Alligator mississippiensis: one gene and its partner. The protein of the gene in region 1 binds, or shares a complex with, the protein of each later gene. Links are inferred from orthologs where the notes say so. Each region holds a gene or a part of one and is shown on either strand. Other genes may lie near its edges.

Region 1 (7,383 bases):
TGTGGCAGCAGCCCTTTGCTCACGTGAAGCAGCTTCTCCATGGGGCAGTGGCCCAGGGCGCCTTCCCCGAGAAGCAATGCTTTTTTTTTTGAATGAAACAAACTTGAATAAGTGCTGAAAGCGCCTGTAGTGGGCTATGCTCTGCCACTTGCATCGGGTGTTTGATGCCAGGCTCACTCACACCAACTTCTCCTTGTATCTTTTCTCCTGCATCCTCCTCCTCTTCCTCCTGCTGCTTAGATTGCTTGATTATTTTCCCCCCCAATTAAGAAAGAATGAAAAGCACTTACAAGTGCAGAAGTCTGAAGGGGAGTAGGTTAGAGGTGCCAATCCAGTGGTCTCAAGTCTCCATTGAACTTACATGGAGGAGCTACAGCTACTTTTCTCCTGTAGCAGTGAATCATATTGCAAGCCCTACTCATTAGGTCTGATTTGGAGACGAGTTTCAGCTCCTAAAACTATTCATGCTCTGTATATATAAAGTTTGAATACCCAGACTTCGTATTGATAGAACAGATTCCACCCACTAGGTTTATATAACCCCTCCCCTACTACCCCGCTCCTTTTTTTAATTTTAAATGTTGGCTTTAAAAGTAGCTGGCAGTGCCTTGTTAAGTCTGTCTACCTATTTTATTTAAAGATTTTAAAATCATTTTCATCTTCTTGCATTCTCCTGTGATTTCAGTTAATGATGAAAGTGTGTATGTTTTGGTGAGCATGTGAGGCAGAAAATACAATTTGTGATGGTGCAGGATAAAGGTTTTATTACCACGAGTAATCAATGGTTGCATTAATTGCAAGTGGTGAAGCCATGAGTGAATAGGTTATTCTAAACAAGAATCTATAATAGCTGATGCAGCATACCAGATCCTTCTGTATTTTTATGATGCATGCATTCCTGGGACAATATTTTAGAAATGTTTGAGGTAAAACTTACTATTTGTATGCCTTTGCCAGTAAAGCTAGATGCCTTAGTTGCCGATTAGCTGTATTCTGCAATGCTCTGATATTGCAGAGCTGCCCTCTAGCTGTGTAAAAAGACTCTCAAGTGGCATAACAGTCCTGTAGATAGATCTGTGCTGACCATTGGTATATGAGATGTGGCTGGGAAAAGCAGGCAGTGTGGGTTTCTTATGGCCAGCTTATGGGCCCCCATGCCATTGGCTATACTGTCAGTCAATTTGGGTTGTTGGGAGTTGGGACTGGCCCAACACCTACATGACTTAAGGTTCAAGGAAGCACAGATATGGCTTAGAACTATATTTTCAGCCTTCTCCACTGCCTGCAGCTCAGGGGCCTATGAGTCAAACAGTACAGAACCCTGAGAGACTCATTAAACTCACAGAAATGACCTACAACAGCTTTTTGCTTTACCTTTAAAATATTACCATTTGATGGTACAATATCCTAGGACTTTGCATGGTTGGATGTCTCACCTTTCCAGAGCACAGCTCATAGGCCTTCTTTGACTCTGCAGGCATTTGGGATACGTTAACTTATTTATTTTTCACATATAAAAAGCTGTCACTGTTCTGAGACAGAATGATACTTATTTTGGGTCTCTGGCTAATATGCTAAGCATGCAAATATTTGGTTGAAATTTGCTTCATAGTAAACAGAAGAACCACCAACATTGTGTGTGAGGGCTGGCTGTACACCTGAACGCAAAGGTGTAGCTTGTGGGGAAAAGAAATAACTTCTGGAACAATATACAGTAACATAGTATCTTCTGAAGGTGCTGGGGGTAGGGGGATGGGGGAGGGCAGAGTATAAATGATATATAGAGATGGATTAATGGGAAGAGTATAGGTGAAACAACCAAAGGAGTTTGATATAATCCTCACACATGTAACTGCAGTTCATCATAAGATTCCAGAATGAATTATTATATATAGCATCTAGGTGTCAACTTTCTGTAGGCAGGTGGGTACCACAAATATAAATAAATGTTATGTGAACAAATCCATGACCACCTGGTGTCCCATGGTGGTAGTGTTTAAGTTTCCATGGAAGTAAGATTTTTTTTTGTGAGGATGGAGACAGAGCCAATTACCTCCCACAGTTTTAGCTACAGGAGTGGTTCTCAGCCTTTTTAGACTCAGTGAACCCCTGATTAGGCTCAAGGCACCCCTCTGTAACTTTTGCAAAGTGAGTGGCACCCAATTTCAAAACCTACTGTATTTATTTCAGTACTGACCTCTGTGCAGAGGGGCCAGGCAGTGTGGATGGGGGTACAGCTAGGCAGGGAGTTTCCCCGTCTGCTTATCTTTTCACGCCTCACTGTCAGTATATCCTTACACTTCCTATGGCATCCCAGGGTGTCCTGGCACCCTGGCTAAGAAGCAGGAAGCTAACAATCTCTGCCAGCAGGATAGGGCTTATGCCATGCAGTGAAACAGTTATGATGTCCTCTACCTTGGATCATTGGTACACATACACATTAACCTGTTCGTTTCTGTTTCATATATATCACTTGCCCATTTACAAACGCTTTTAAGTTTGTGGATGATCTTCCTTGCAAGCCAAGCATAAGAAGCCTGTTGTACTCAGTGTTAGCTGAGTGCTTACTATATTTTATAGAATCATACAATAACACTTACTTCCCATGACTATGTTTTGGGATGTCCCAACAGCTTGGAAATGCTGTGATGCATGAAAATCTGGGTTCTGTAGAGAAGTGCTTTTAGCCAAAAGGCTTATGAGGAAAGAGTAGATCACCTTCAGGGACAGAAGGTGATCTACTTAGATGAAAGAGTAGATCACCTTCAGGGATAGAAACTTGGCACAGTAATTTGTTTAATCTGTCAGCTAATGAGGCAACATTCTTGAGAAGAGGGACGGCAGACACATTTGAAAAGACTTGATCTAGCTTTTTTGAAACAACCCTAGGGCAGGGAAACAAATGTGTACTCCATCGTCTCTTTATTTGACTCCATCCTTCCCTCCTTGTATCTCCCCTCTTGCATCTTTATCTTGTTTGCAGCAACTTTTTTTTCTGCTCACCCCTTACGTCGAAAAAATTCCAAGGTATAAAAAAATAAGATTTGTTATAACCATTTTGGCCCTTTCTTAATTCAGCTCAGTAGTCCAGAACTGCTGCCTCTACTTATTTTGCCACCTGAATATATAATGAATTATTGATACTTCCATTGTTACTCTGGTTGTCTGAATGATTATAATCAAATCTTTATTCTTTTCTCCCTCATGTTGGTACAAAAGCAGTGTAACTTCTTTGATTTCACTTGAATTTCTCTTGATTTGTGATCTTCTGTTTACACCAAAATCAGGCCTATGTTTCATTTTTTTGAGGGTCAGAGGATGCCTGAAGGGAAAAAAGACCTTTGAGGTAGTGAAGTTTTGCATGAAAAAACCCTCCACTAATATCAAACCAAACTTTGTGGGTCTGATTCAGACTTTTTTTAGGTCAGATTACACTGGTGTAACTTCATAACTTTAATGGAGTTGCCTCTAAGATGCACTGAGATCACAACTAGGCATCTTGCGAACCTCTTAGCTCATGTTGGATTATTCACTTGCAAAGTCTTAGTTACAGGCAAACCCAGACTTCCTGGAGTTTGGTGACTCTCCTGTCAGTCAACTTTAACGGCACCTCATCTGCTGCAAAACTACTGGCCTCCAAGTTACTTTGCCACCACAAAACTAGGCGTCGTAAATATGAAAGTTAAAAGCCTTCCTCCTCCCTTTCTCTGCTGAAGGATCAGATGACTTGGTCTCAACATGCTAGCCCAGGCGATTAACTTGAGAAGTTGCTTTGTGGGAAAAACAGAAAACAAGCAGGCAGTTGGTTTGGCCACTGTGCATTATGTAACCAGTGCACTGGCTGCAGGAGCTGGATGACTGACATTGAGAAATTCCTAGGGGAGGGGGGAGGGGGTGCAGCCCTAGAGTCACTGTGAGCACTAGCATTTCCAAGAAGCCTAAAGAGGAAAATGGCTTTCAAGAAAGGGAAACACATTGGGGAATAATAATGAAAAGCTTCAGGATCTAATGCGGAATCAAATGTCAATACCCATGTAATTTATTTTCCTGGTGAAATGGCATGCATCCAATCCTGGCATGTGAAGAAGGGGGCATGCCATCTGGGAAATGCAAGGCAGCGACAGCAAGGCAAAGAGACAATGAATGACCCATGCTTTATCCCCTACTCCTCTCTCTCTCTCTCTCTCTCTCCCTCTCTCTTCTTTAAAGAAACAGTGAGATAACTGCAAAAAGTCTTTCCCTCCTCCCACTCACCCCCCCCTCACTCAAATTCGGGGCGGTGACAGCCCTAGGAGTGTGAACTGCCCCTTTAAGACCTGCTCTCTTCCAGTTCTACAGAAAGGGAGTGACCTCTGGGCTTTGACAGCTCCCCTAATAACTAGCAGAGACCGAGCTCCGCCCGCGGCCCCTGATTGGACCGCGGGCCGGTATCCCGCGCGCGGATTGGCTGGCCGCTTCCCCTGAGCGAACCTTTAGAACTCCGAGGCACAATATTCTGTTACATTGTAGCAAAATGGCGACTGTCATTCACAACCCCCTGAAAGCGTAAGTAGGAATCAAAAATGTACATATTCCGCGTGGTTTCAATATGAAAAAAGGCGCCTTTCCGCCGCTCGCTGCCAGCCGGAGCCGGGCGCCTGCAGCCTCCGCGCGGCTCTCCCCGGCCGCCCTCCTCGCTCGCACCCACTCTCTTTTTGTGCCCCGCGCGCGGGCGCCCGGCGCTGAAATTAACGAGAAGAAATTGTTATATTTGTCTCCTTAATTGGCTCGGGGGGCTGGAGGGGAGGGAGGCGGGGAGGGTGGCCCCGGTGCTGCCTGGCAGATCTCCGGGATGCGCGCACCTGGGAAACGCCGAGATCCCGGAGGACCCGGCGGGGCTGCGTGCACTTGCCAGTGTCCTGCGCCCGCTGTCTGGGCGCCCGGGGCCGGGGGAGGAGGCTGGGCTCGGAAGTCGGCTGCGGCGCCGCTCGGCTTCGCGGCGCTGCCACCCGAGCCAGGACTTTTCTTTCGCAACTGGCGCGGAGTTGGGACGAACTTGGCGGAGCGGGCTGGGAGCGGGCCGCAAGGCCGGCGGCGCAGATCCCCGGGGGCGGGGGCACCGCGGCAGTGCTCCGCCACGGCCGGCCTGACACGAAATGAATGAGCCGGGTCAGGGCTGGCCGGGGCACGGCAGGAAGTGCGGAGCTCTGCTTTGCATGTGAGCGCCTTTCGCTTTGACAGGGGCCCGCGGGGCTCGGCTCTGTTTCCGGCTCGGGAGGGACCCGCGGAGCCCCAGCGTGGCCGGCTCCGGCCGCGGGGGAGCCCGGGCGGCTGCTTGCTAGGAAACGAGAGGCGGAGAGTCGGGGGCAGGTGCCTGCGCGGCACAAACCCGCGGGGCTGCCCGAGCTCCAGGGAAGGCGGCTTTAAAGCAGGAGGGAGGGAGGAAGGAGACACCAGAGCAGCCGCCTTGCCCCGGATCGCGTCCCTGCTTTCCCGTCTGCCGCTAATCCCCGACGGCATTAGGGACAGTGGGGTTCGCCCCGGCCGTGGGGAGGCCAGAGGCTGCCTTAGCCCGGTGGAAACCACTTCCCTGCCCGCTCGTGGCACCTGGCGCGGGCGCCCTGGAGTTTTTAGCGATGCGATTGCGGCGCCCTCGCAACTCCGCTCCCTCGCAGCCCCGTTGGAGACGCAGCCGGGGGCTTTTCCAGGGATTCCCCGCTGCTGTCCCCGAGCGAGCTGGAGCGGGGCACGCAGCCGCCGCGTTTACCTCTCTCCATTGTGGCAGCAGCCCTTTACTCACGTGAAGCCTCCTCCCTACGGGGCAGCGGCCCGGGGCGCCTTCCCCGAGAAGCTGATGCTTTTTTTTTTTTTTTTTTTGAAAGAGAAAGAAACCTGAATAAGCGCTGAAGGCGCCCGCAGTGGGCAGTACTCCGCCACTTGCACCGGGTGCTTGATGCCGGGCTCTCTCTCATCAACTTCTCCCCGTGCCCTTTCTCCCGCAGCCTCCTCCTTCTCCTCCTGCTGCTGCTTAGAGCGCTCGAGTATTTATTTTCTCCCAATTAAGAAAGACAAGACAAGAAGAGTTAGATCGTGCGCATTCATTGTTGGCAACTTAGGTGCCTGAAAACAATCTCGACTATACACAATACAGGTTGTTGGGTCTGTCTTTGCCCCTCTCTGCGGGGGAGGGGGGAGCTGAGTTTATTTACACCCTTATGGAAATATGAAGAGTTGGAAGGTTGGGTCTGGTTCCCCTTTTGGGAAAGTCATTCAGGCGCCGCTGCTCTTACGGGCGAGCTGCCGAAAAGGGATTTGAACCTTACTGTAGAGAGAGAGAGAGAGTGTCCGCGCCGGGCTCCCCTCCTGCTTTCGTGGGGGCCAAATGGGGATAACTCCGTTCAAGTCAATGGAGGAAGCCGGCGGGAGAGTGCAAGAAGAACGGGGGCATGGTACGAAGGTGTCACCCTTACTGCAAGACGTGATTATGGACCATTAGGTTGCCCCCAGATATATTTGGGGCGCTCATTACCTCCACACAGTAATTTCTAACATCAGCTGATAGATCCTGCCAATGTTTTGTGTGCACTTACATTCTTTGGGGGCCTAATCCTGTTGCCACTGAAGTCAGTGGGAGCAGGGTTGGACCCTTTATAATTAGCTCTTCCCCCCCCCTCCTTCCCCTGGGGTGAGAGGAGAGGAAACAATAGGCATCAAGTGCAGGGTTTGCTTTTCTCTGTATGCCTTTTAAAGTATGAACACTGTGCAGAGGGAGCAGGATTGGAGCGGGCCGTCTGACACCATCTGTCTTTTTTATTAACTTGTTTAATAAAACATTTTATAATTTTCATTTATTCTTTAAAGTTGCTGATCAGGAAACAATACACATGTAAATAAATTATGCATGGGATAAATTAGGACAAAAGCAGTAAGACACATAATAGGGGGGAAAGGATGCAGTGCACAGTGTTTTAGCCTCATGTGTCCTTCCTGACAATGAAAGGGAGCTGAATGACATTTGCATTTCCTCCGTCTGCGTTTTGATTGTGTCTCAAAACCCACAGACGCCCCCTACAGAAACTGGCCACACAAAGGTTTTGCTCTGCGATAGGGGACAATGTAGATACTATAGGCTGAAATCCTAGCTCAGGTATCATAGAATCATAGAAAATGAGGGTTGGAAGGGACCTCAGGAGGTCATTTAATCCACCCCCCTGCTCAAAGCAGGACTGTCCCCAGCTAGATCACCCCAGTCAAGGCTTTGTCTAAGCTGGGTCTTAAAACCGTCCAAGGATGGAGATCCTATCCTATATATTTTATGCATTTATCTACGAACAGTGTTCTATCTTCAGCACAAAGACACATGGGTTACTCTGTTTATTGGAGGCTAGTCCTTGTGGGATAACA
Region 2 (6,858 bases), on another chromosome or scaffold:
CCCGATCCAGTGCATATAGCACCTGCCCGGGCTGGTTTGGGATGCCAGCCCAACTGTGCATCCCCTGTAACACAGCCTGGGACCTGGTCCCAGTGAGTGCCATGGGTGGCACGTGTCCGTGGTACTCTGCACAGGGTCAGTCTGGCACAGTGCATGGGTTAACAGGGCAGCACCAGGGGCTGGATGATGGGGCTCTGTAAGCTGGATCTGACCCATGGGCCGGATGCTTGACATCCCGATTCAACCTGTACGTATTCCACGGCCTCTCTCAGTAATCCTCAGAGGACAGTGAGAACAATTGCTCACCATCCTCTTTACAACCATCTTATCTTGCTTTCAAAGATTGTTCCCTAGGCCTCCCTTTCAGTCTTCTTTTCTCCCTCTTGGCCTTCTCTAAATTGTCCCAATTTTCCAAGCGCTCCCCATTCATGTTTAGTGATGAGATCCTGGCTTTCTGCTCCCACCCACAGTGTCCATGGCGTTCTGCCTGTCCCCTTTCTAGGAGGCACTTGTAGCACAACCCACCAGCAAGCTCCATACACACTCCACCACAGCCATTGGGTGAGTTTATGCAGTGGGAGCATTAATGCGATGCCTTGGAGAGTTTGTTCAGCCACAGCCCCACATGGATTGGGTTATCTGCGTGACCTGCACCCTCAGGAACAAATCCCCTTTGTAGTCAATGCCTTTCAATCCTGGCTTTTCTCCACCTCGGAGGAAGTGAGAGAACCGGGGACACTTGCTGCTCGTCAGGGGCCGGTTCTTGCAATCTTCATTCAGATTAAATTCTCATGGCACAGGGCGGACGCATTATTGTGTTTGGGGTATTTCCAGCTCGGGTACCTTGCTCTTTGCTGTAGCTGTGAGGTTAGGCAATTCTAGCTGGCTGGTAATTCCCCCCCACATAACCATCTTACATCTGCCATTCTCCCACCTCACTTGTTCTCCATCAGTCCCCAGAGATGGCTGCAAGGAGACTTTGGAGACTCCTCTCCTCAGGTCCTCAGCCCCTTCCCAGAATTGCATCTGGCCCTGCTGATCATCAATAGCTTCTCGCCTATTGTCCTTTGCTGGAAGCCCCCTGAGACCGCCGGCTCCTCATTAATGCTGATCTCCCTCAGGTCCCTGCTCCCTTCAGCCTTTGTGCGGAGAAGGGCGGTGAAGCGGCATGGCAGCCTCTCCTAGGGCTGGAGTGCGCTTCCCCCTGCCTCACCGCATTCACAGGATGTTTTTTGTCCCCACCTCATCCCTGATGGACACTTCCACTTAACCTTCCCCCTTGCCTCATCCGGCCCCTGCTGCTCTGCACAGCCACCCCGCACCCGGGCCTTGTGGTTGCTTTTATTTGACATAATCCTCTAATTAATAATATGCAAGGCTCAGCCTTTCCAAAGAAGGGCAGGGATATTAATGAAGTCTCTGGGAACGGGCTAATTAACTGCAATGATCCCCGTTTTACTGATAGGGAAGCTGAGAGTCACGGAGCTGGAGGGGTTTGCCCCACGTCACAGAGACAGACATGGGCAGGCAGGGTTTTACCTCCGGGGCTCCTGGTTGCACACCCCCTGCTTTGCCCATCACGTCGCATGGCTGCCTTCTCCTCGTGTTAAAGAAAACCTTGAGTTTTTATAAAAGCCTTTGTGTTCTTCCCTGTAGCTGGACATTTCTGATGAGGTACTTTTGCCCTTGTATGTTCTCTAGAGGAGATACAGGGCAGGTCGGTAGGGGTATGGGTTTAGGGGTAGCACCTCTTTGGAGGAGCGTGCGATTGCCATGCCCTTTAAGAGCCCGTGCATAGCTCCTGCACTGGGTCCACTGGGCCCTTTGGATTCCCCTCCATAGACTATGCTTGTGCCATAAAGAAGTACGGCTGGAAGGACCCTCCAGAGGTCTTCGGAGCACACCCCGGTGCAATGCGTGTGCCCCTTCGTGCGCCATGCTCCTTCCAGATGCCGCTTGTGTTGCTTTGGGTGAATCGTGATACCAGGCTGGACACCCGCTGCGTGCCTCTCTGTCCCGACAGGGTGCGTGTAGACCCTTTGCAAAGGGCCAAGTTCTGCTCTCGGTTCCATCAGTGCCTACCTGGACGAGCTCCACTGACAACTGTGGGGATCCCTCTGGATCATCAGTCGCGTGGCGGTGTCAGGATGCTCCTCTCACAGACAGGACCCAAAGCAATGCTTGGCTCAGTGCCCGCCTGCAGTCGGAGGTGGCACAACGACTAGACTGCAGCAGGTGCGGACCCCCCATCTGAAGACATGAACCCCTTGCAACAAGGGCCGAGAGTCGAACAGCCTGTCCTCGCCCTGCCACTATAAGGTGAACTTCTGTTTCCAGAGGCCTTTGGTCCCTGCAGGCTGTTTTCTGGGTCCCTCAACACAGGGAGAAGGAAGAAGCCAAAGGCCTGAGACCCCACGTGGCCCTTCCCAGCTCCCCTGGGAGCCCTGGGGCAGCTGGGCAGGCTACATGCCCCACACGGGCTGCTGAGGAAGTCAGCTGGGCTCTGCATAGGGATCCAATAGGAAGAGAAACCAGTCCGGCCCATCCATAAATGGCTTGTTAAGTCCCACACAATTACCCCCACCCAGGTAATTGCAGAACTGTGCTCTACAACTATTTGCACAGTTCCCCCTGCTGCTTTCTCCTCCCCGGTGTTGTGCCATGTCGCGCAGGGAGGGTGACACGCATTTCCCTGGGGAGATAACGCCCTGACCCCCAACTCTTCCAAAAAAGGACTCACTTTACAGGAAGGAACCGTTCAATGGCCAAACCCTCCAGGTTTCACCTTATATGAATGAATGTCCTGCACACACACACACACACTCAGGTAGGCCTTATTCACATCAAGTCTCATTGATTTCCTTGTGACTCAGCTGGCAGGGCAGGGCTGGGCCGTCATCAAACAGCACCCCCCCCCCCCCCCGCAACTCCAGATGCCCTGCTAACCCCATTCCCTACTGCATCGCATCCTCATCCAAATGCACGCTCAGCTTGGCGCCCCACTTCAGCAGCACACTGCCCATCCCCGTGTCACTTAGAAATTCATGTGTACCATTTTCCAGGGGCTGTTATTTTTGCTGAGAGCCAATATCCAAGGCACAACCTTGCTGCCAGGTTGAAGCCCGCGCTGCAAAACTGACAGCAGTCTGCAAGTCGAGGCCCACACTCCCCCACTGCTTCATTGACTCGATTTAATCAGTTCGTGTTTGCACCGCGTCCTAGAGAGGCGAAACGCTTTGCAGCCCCTCGGCTCCTGGCTCTTCGCGGGGTGACCTTGCCTTTGTTTGGAAACGAGTCTCCCGTACGATACCGAAATGCAGACTTGCAGAAACACAACCACACGAGGCCTTGCACCAGAATGGAAGAGGAAGCAGGAATTGGCAGGACCCCCCAAATCCCTGCTGCTCCGACCACCCCCATAATGGAAACCTGGGGACGGCATGGCACTGCCTGCCAATGCTCAACATCATCCATTTCCACCCTGGGCAGTTGGAAGGGGGTTAAGGGCGCGCTTTCCTGGGTACCAGGGTGGGCTCATCCTCCCCCTGCACTGAGTGCTGGCTCCCCAGGGTTGGGGTTTTTTTTTTGCACGTGCAATGCACCCCAAGGCTTGTTTTGCATGTGCAACTGCACCCTCCGGGCCCGGCCCGGCCCTGCCCCTTGCCCCCTGCCCGGGGGTGCCGGCCGGCCGGCGGGGTGCAGCAGCGGCCGCGGCAGCGCAGGGAGGCGCCGGGCCCGCGGGGGAGGGGGGGCTGCTGCAATGTGCGCGCGCGGCGGTGACTGAGCGCGCCGCAGCCAATCAGCGCGGCCCGTTCCGAAAGTTGCCTTATATGGCGATGGGGCCCGGCCCGCTCGGTCCTATAAAACCCGGCGCGCGCGGCCGGCTGCTGTCGCCGCGAGCTGCTCCCGCCTGCACCGCCAGCCCCAACCCCAGCACCGCTCGACGCCTGCAGCCGCCCGGTGAGCGCCGGGCCCGGGCCCAGGGAGGGGGGTGTTTGCAGGGGGGCATGGGTGCGGGGTTGCATGGTTTGGGAGGCTCCTGGGGTTGCAAAACCACCACCTCCTTGTACCCCGACTGTGCATGGGGTGTTGCAAAACCTGTACCCTAACTGTGCATGGTGGGGGGTGCTAGTGTTGTATGGTGGGGTTGCAAAACCTGCACCCCAACCATGCATGACTGGCTGGTGCTGGGGGTGTACCACCACCTCTTCCCTGTACCCCACTTGTGCATGGTGGGGGGTGCAAGGGGAGTGCTGGTGGTTGGGGTTGCAACACCAGCACCCTTCCTGTACCCCAGCTGTGTGTGGTGGGGGGCGAGGTGTTTGTAGTGCGTCTCTTAAGAGGATTTGTTGCCGGGCTGGGTGGGGAAGAAATGGTCAGAGCTGGGACGGAGGGGGTGTACCCACTGCTGGCCCTGCTGCAGGGCTGGAGGTGCCCGGCTCCCTTGCTAGGAGCTGGGCGCACGCGGTGGGGGTAGGGGAAGGCAGCCTTGGGTGCATGGGGCGAGCGGAGCAGCCGCTCCTCCCACTGCTGGGGAGAGGGTCTTTGTCTGGATGGTCTCTGGGAGGTGGCTGCCCCCCCATGCGTGGGGAGGGGCTGCCCGCAGCTGCTGGCGGGCGCTGGGTAGGGTGGGGTCTCTGCACCCCAGTGCCTGGCTCCTAGGCTGGGAGGCAGGGGTGGGGGGTGCCCTTTGCTCCAGCAGTGTTGTAGGGGAGCTGCCCTGGCACGGGGGCAATGCCCAGCCGCCCTGCCCCAGCTGCAGGGGAGGACTCCACTCCCTGGTGCCCTTGCTTGGCACACGAGGGTAGAAATGGGCTTGGCAGTTCACTCTCCGCTGGGTCTGAGGTGGCATTTGAGCCTGGCCGGGGCTGTGCCCCAGGGGCCCTCCCAGCTTGCAAGGACTGTAATGCTAGAATAACGCTCTGGCTGTTTCAGTGGGGCGTGGGGAGAAAGGAGGTGCTCCAGAGCCAACTTGCTGGGCAAGCTTGGCAGGGCGGGTCTGCTGCTGCCCCACTTGATGGAGCACAAAATGCACCTGTGCGTGGCTGCCTGACTAGTTGCGCTAGTCGGGGCTGCGCAGGGCGGGGAGCCGGAGCCCAGAGCAGGGTGTCGGGAACTTGCCCTTCGCAACTCCTCCATTGTCACGCCTGCCTCCAGACAGACACCCCCACAGCAGTGCTGGGAACAGGGAGTGGCCAGGCCCGGCCTCCTTTGAAGGGAGGGGAGTGGCTGGCAGCGAGCGGGGGCCCTCCCAAAAGCTGGCTCCACGCCGTGCCACTGGCTCCTTGCAAAGCTCGCTCTCACCATTGCCTTTTATGGTAATAATATGAGACTGGAGCAGGGACTTCCTTTGTCCCAAATCTGTGCAAAGGCAAAATATGCAGCACTGGGCTCCCCCTCGCGGCCGGCTGGAGAAGAGGCGCAGAGCAAACAGGAAGCTAGAGAGGAAATGGGTGGGGTAGGCGGCCGGGTCTGCAGCTCTGTCTTGGCAGGAGCTTTACCACATGGGGCTTTCCTCCTCCTGGCAAGACAGGATGAGCGGTGGTGCCTGGCAGCCCTGACAGACCACGGTCTAGGAGTGCCCACGAGCTACTCAGAGCAGCAACTCCAGCATGCTCACATTGTCTTGTGTTGCTTTGCAGTTAGTTCGCCATGGATGATGATATTGCTGCGCTCGTTGTGGACAATGGCTCCGGTATGTGCAAGGCCGGCTTCGCTGGGGACGACGCCCCTCGTGCCGTCTTCCCATCCATCGTCGGGCGCCCCAGACACCAGGTACGTGGGAGGGGAGGGGGTGCTGCCTCTTCTACGCTGGAAACGGTTTCCAAGAAATGGAGTGGCTCCAAAGACTCCAATTCCTAGACTGGAGAAAAAGCAACTCATTTCCGTTCTAGGGACACGTCCTTCCTTAATCAGTTGATGGCTTGGTTCATCCAGCAATTCCCCCTACTATAAGCCACTTGAAAAGCTGGCTGGCCCCTAGCCCAAGTAACCAGTCTGGTAGACGTGGTAGGATGTGGGTGTTTGAGTTTAACTAATGGTAGCCCCTTTTTTTATTATTATTATTTCTTCAGGGTGTGATGGTTGGCATGGGCCAGAAAGACAGCTATGTTGGTGATGAGGCCCAAAGCAAAAGAGGTATCCTGACCCTGAAGTACCCCATCGAACACGGCATTGTCACCAACTGGGATGACATGGAGAAGATCTGGCACCACACCTTCTACAACGAGCTCAGAGTTGCCCCTGAGGAGCACCCTGTGCTGCTCACAGAGGCTCCCCTGAACCCCAAAGCCAACAGGGAAAAGATGACACAGGTGTGTACTGTGGCCTGAGCCCCCCACCCTCTGCCACTTGGCTCTAGCCTGTGGGGAAGCTGCTGGCCAGCCCTCCTCCCTTCCTGTCTTCATCTTTTTTTCCCCCCCTCCCCTTTTTGCTATTCTTTGCAGGGTTTTCCTTTCCTGACCTGAGCCTTCTCTTTGCTGGATCTTGACAGGTTTTATTTGTTCTTCTAAGCTGGTTTCCTCTTGCTGCCTTGATACTACCAACTCCTCTAACTGCTGTTTCTGACTAGACACTAACTGTTCACCTGTCTTGAGTGATTTCTGCCATGTAGCTGTCTAGTTTTTTGGGGGGTGATGGAGAATGTGGCTCTCTGAAGCAGCTGTGTTGCACCTGGGCTTTTGCCCATGTTCTTAACTTCTTCCCAGGACTCGGACTTGGGTTGATGGGTTTGCTGTGGTAGCCCAGAACTGATTGGCATGGCCTCCCATTCCAGTGGACCCATGATTGTTGTCTCTGGGGACATGGGAATGGTCTAGCAAAATGACACTTGCATGACTTGCAAACAATCTCTCACGA

Evidence for each region.
Region 2: DPF3 (region 1) and ACTB share a complex: the UniProt entries of both Homo sapiens proteins name them as parts of the BAF complex. The link is inferred for Alligator mississippiensis from reciprocal best matches to the Homo sapiens genes DPF3 and ACTB.

Annotation. Positions count from the first base shown.
Region 1 is NC_081825.1:235,931,511-235,938,893, reverse strand, and holds the start of DPF3 (zinc finger protein DPF3), read left to right. Parts: upstream 1-4,379; 5' UTR 4,380-4,513; coding exon 4,514-4,545; intron 4,546-7,383. UniProt on the Homo sapiens protein: Belongs to the neuron-specific chromatin remodeling complex (nBAF complex).
Region 2 is NC_081836.1:53,264,004-53,270,861, reverse strand, and holds the start of ACTB (actin, cytoplasmic 1), read left to right. Parts: upstream 1-3,852; 5' UTR 3,853-3,960; intron 3,961-5,642; 5' UTR 5,643-5,652; coding exon 5,653-5,775; intron 5,776-6,074; coding exon 6,075-6,314; intron 6,315-6,858. UniProt on the Homo sapiens protein: Actin is a highly conserved protein that polymerizes to produce filaments that form cross-linked networks in the cytoplasm of cells.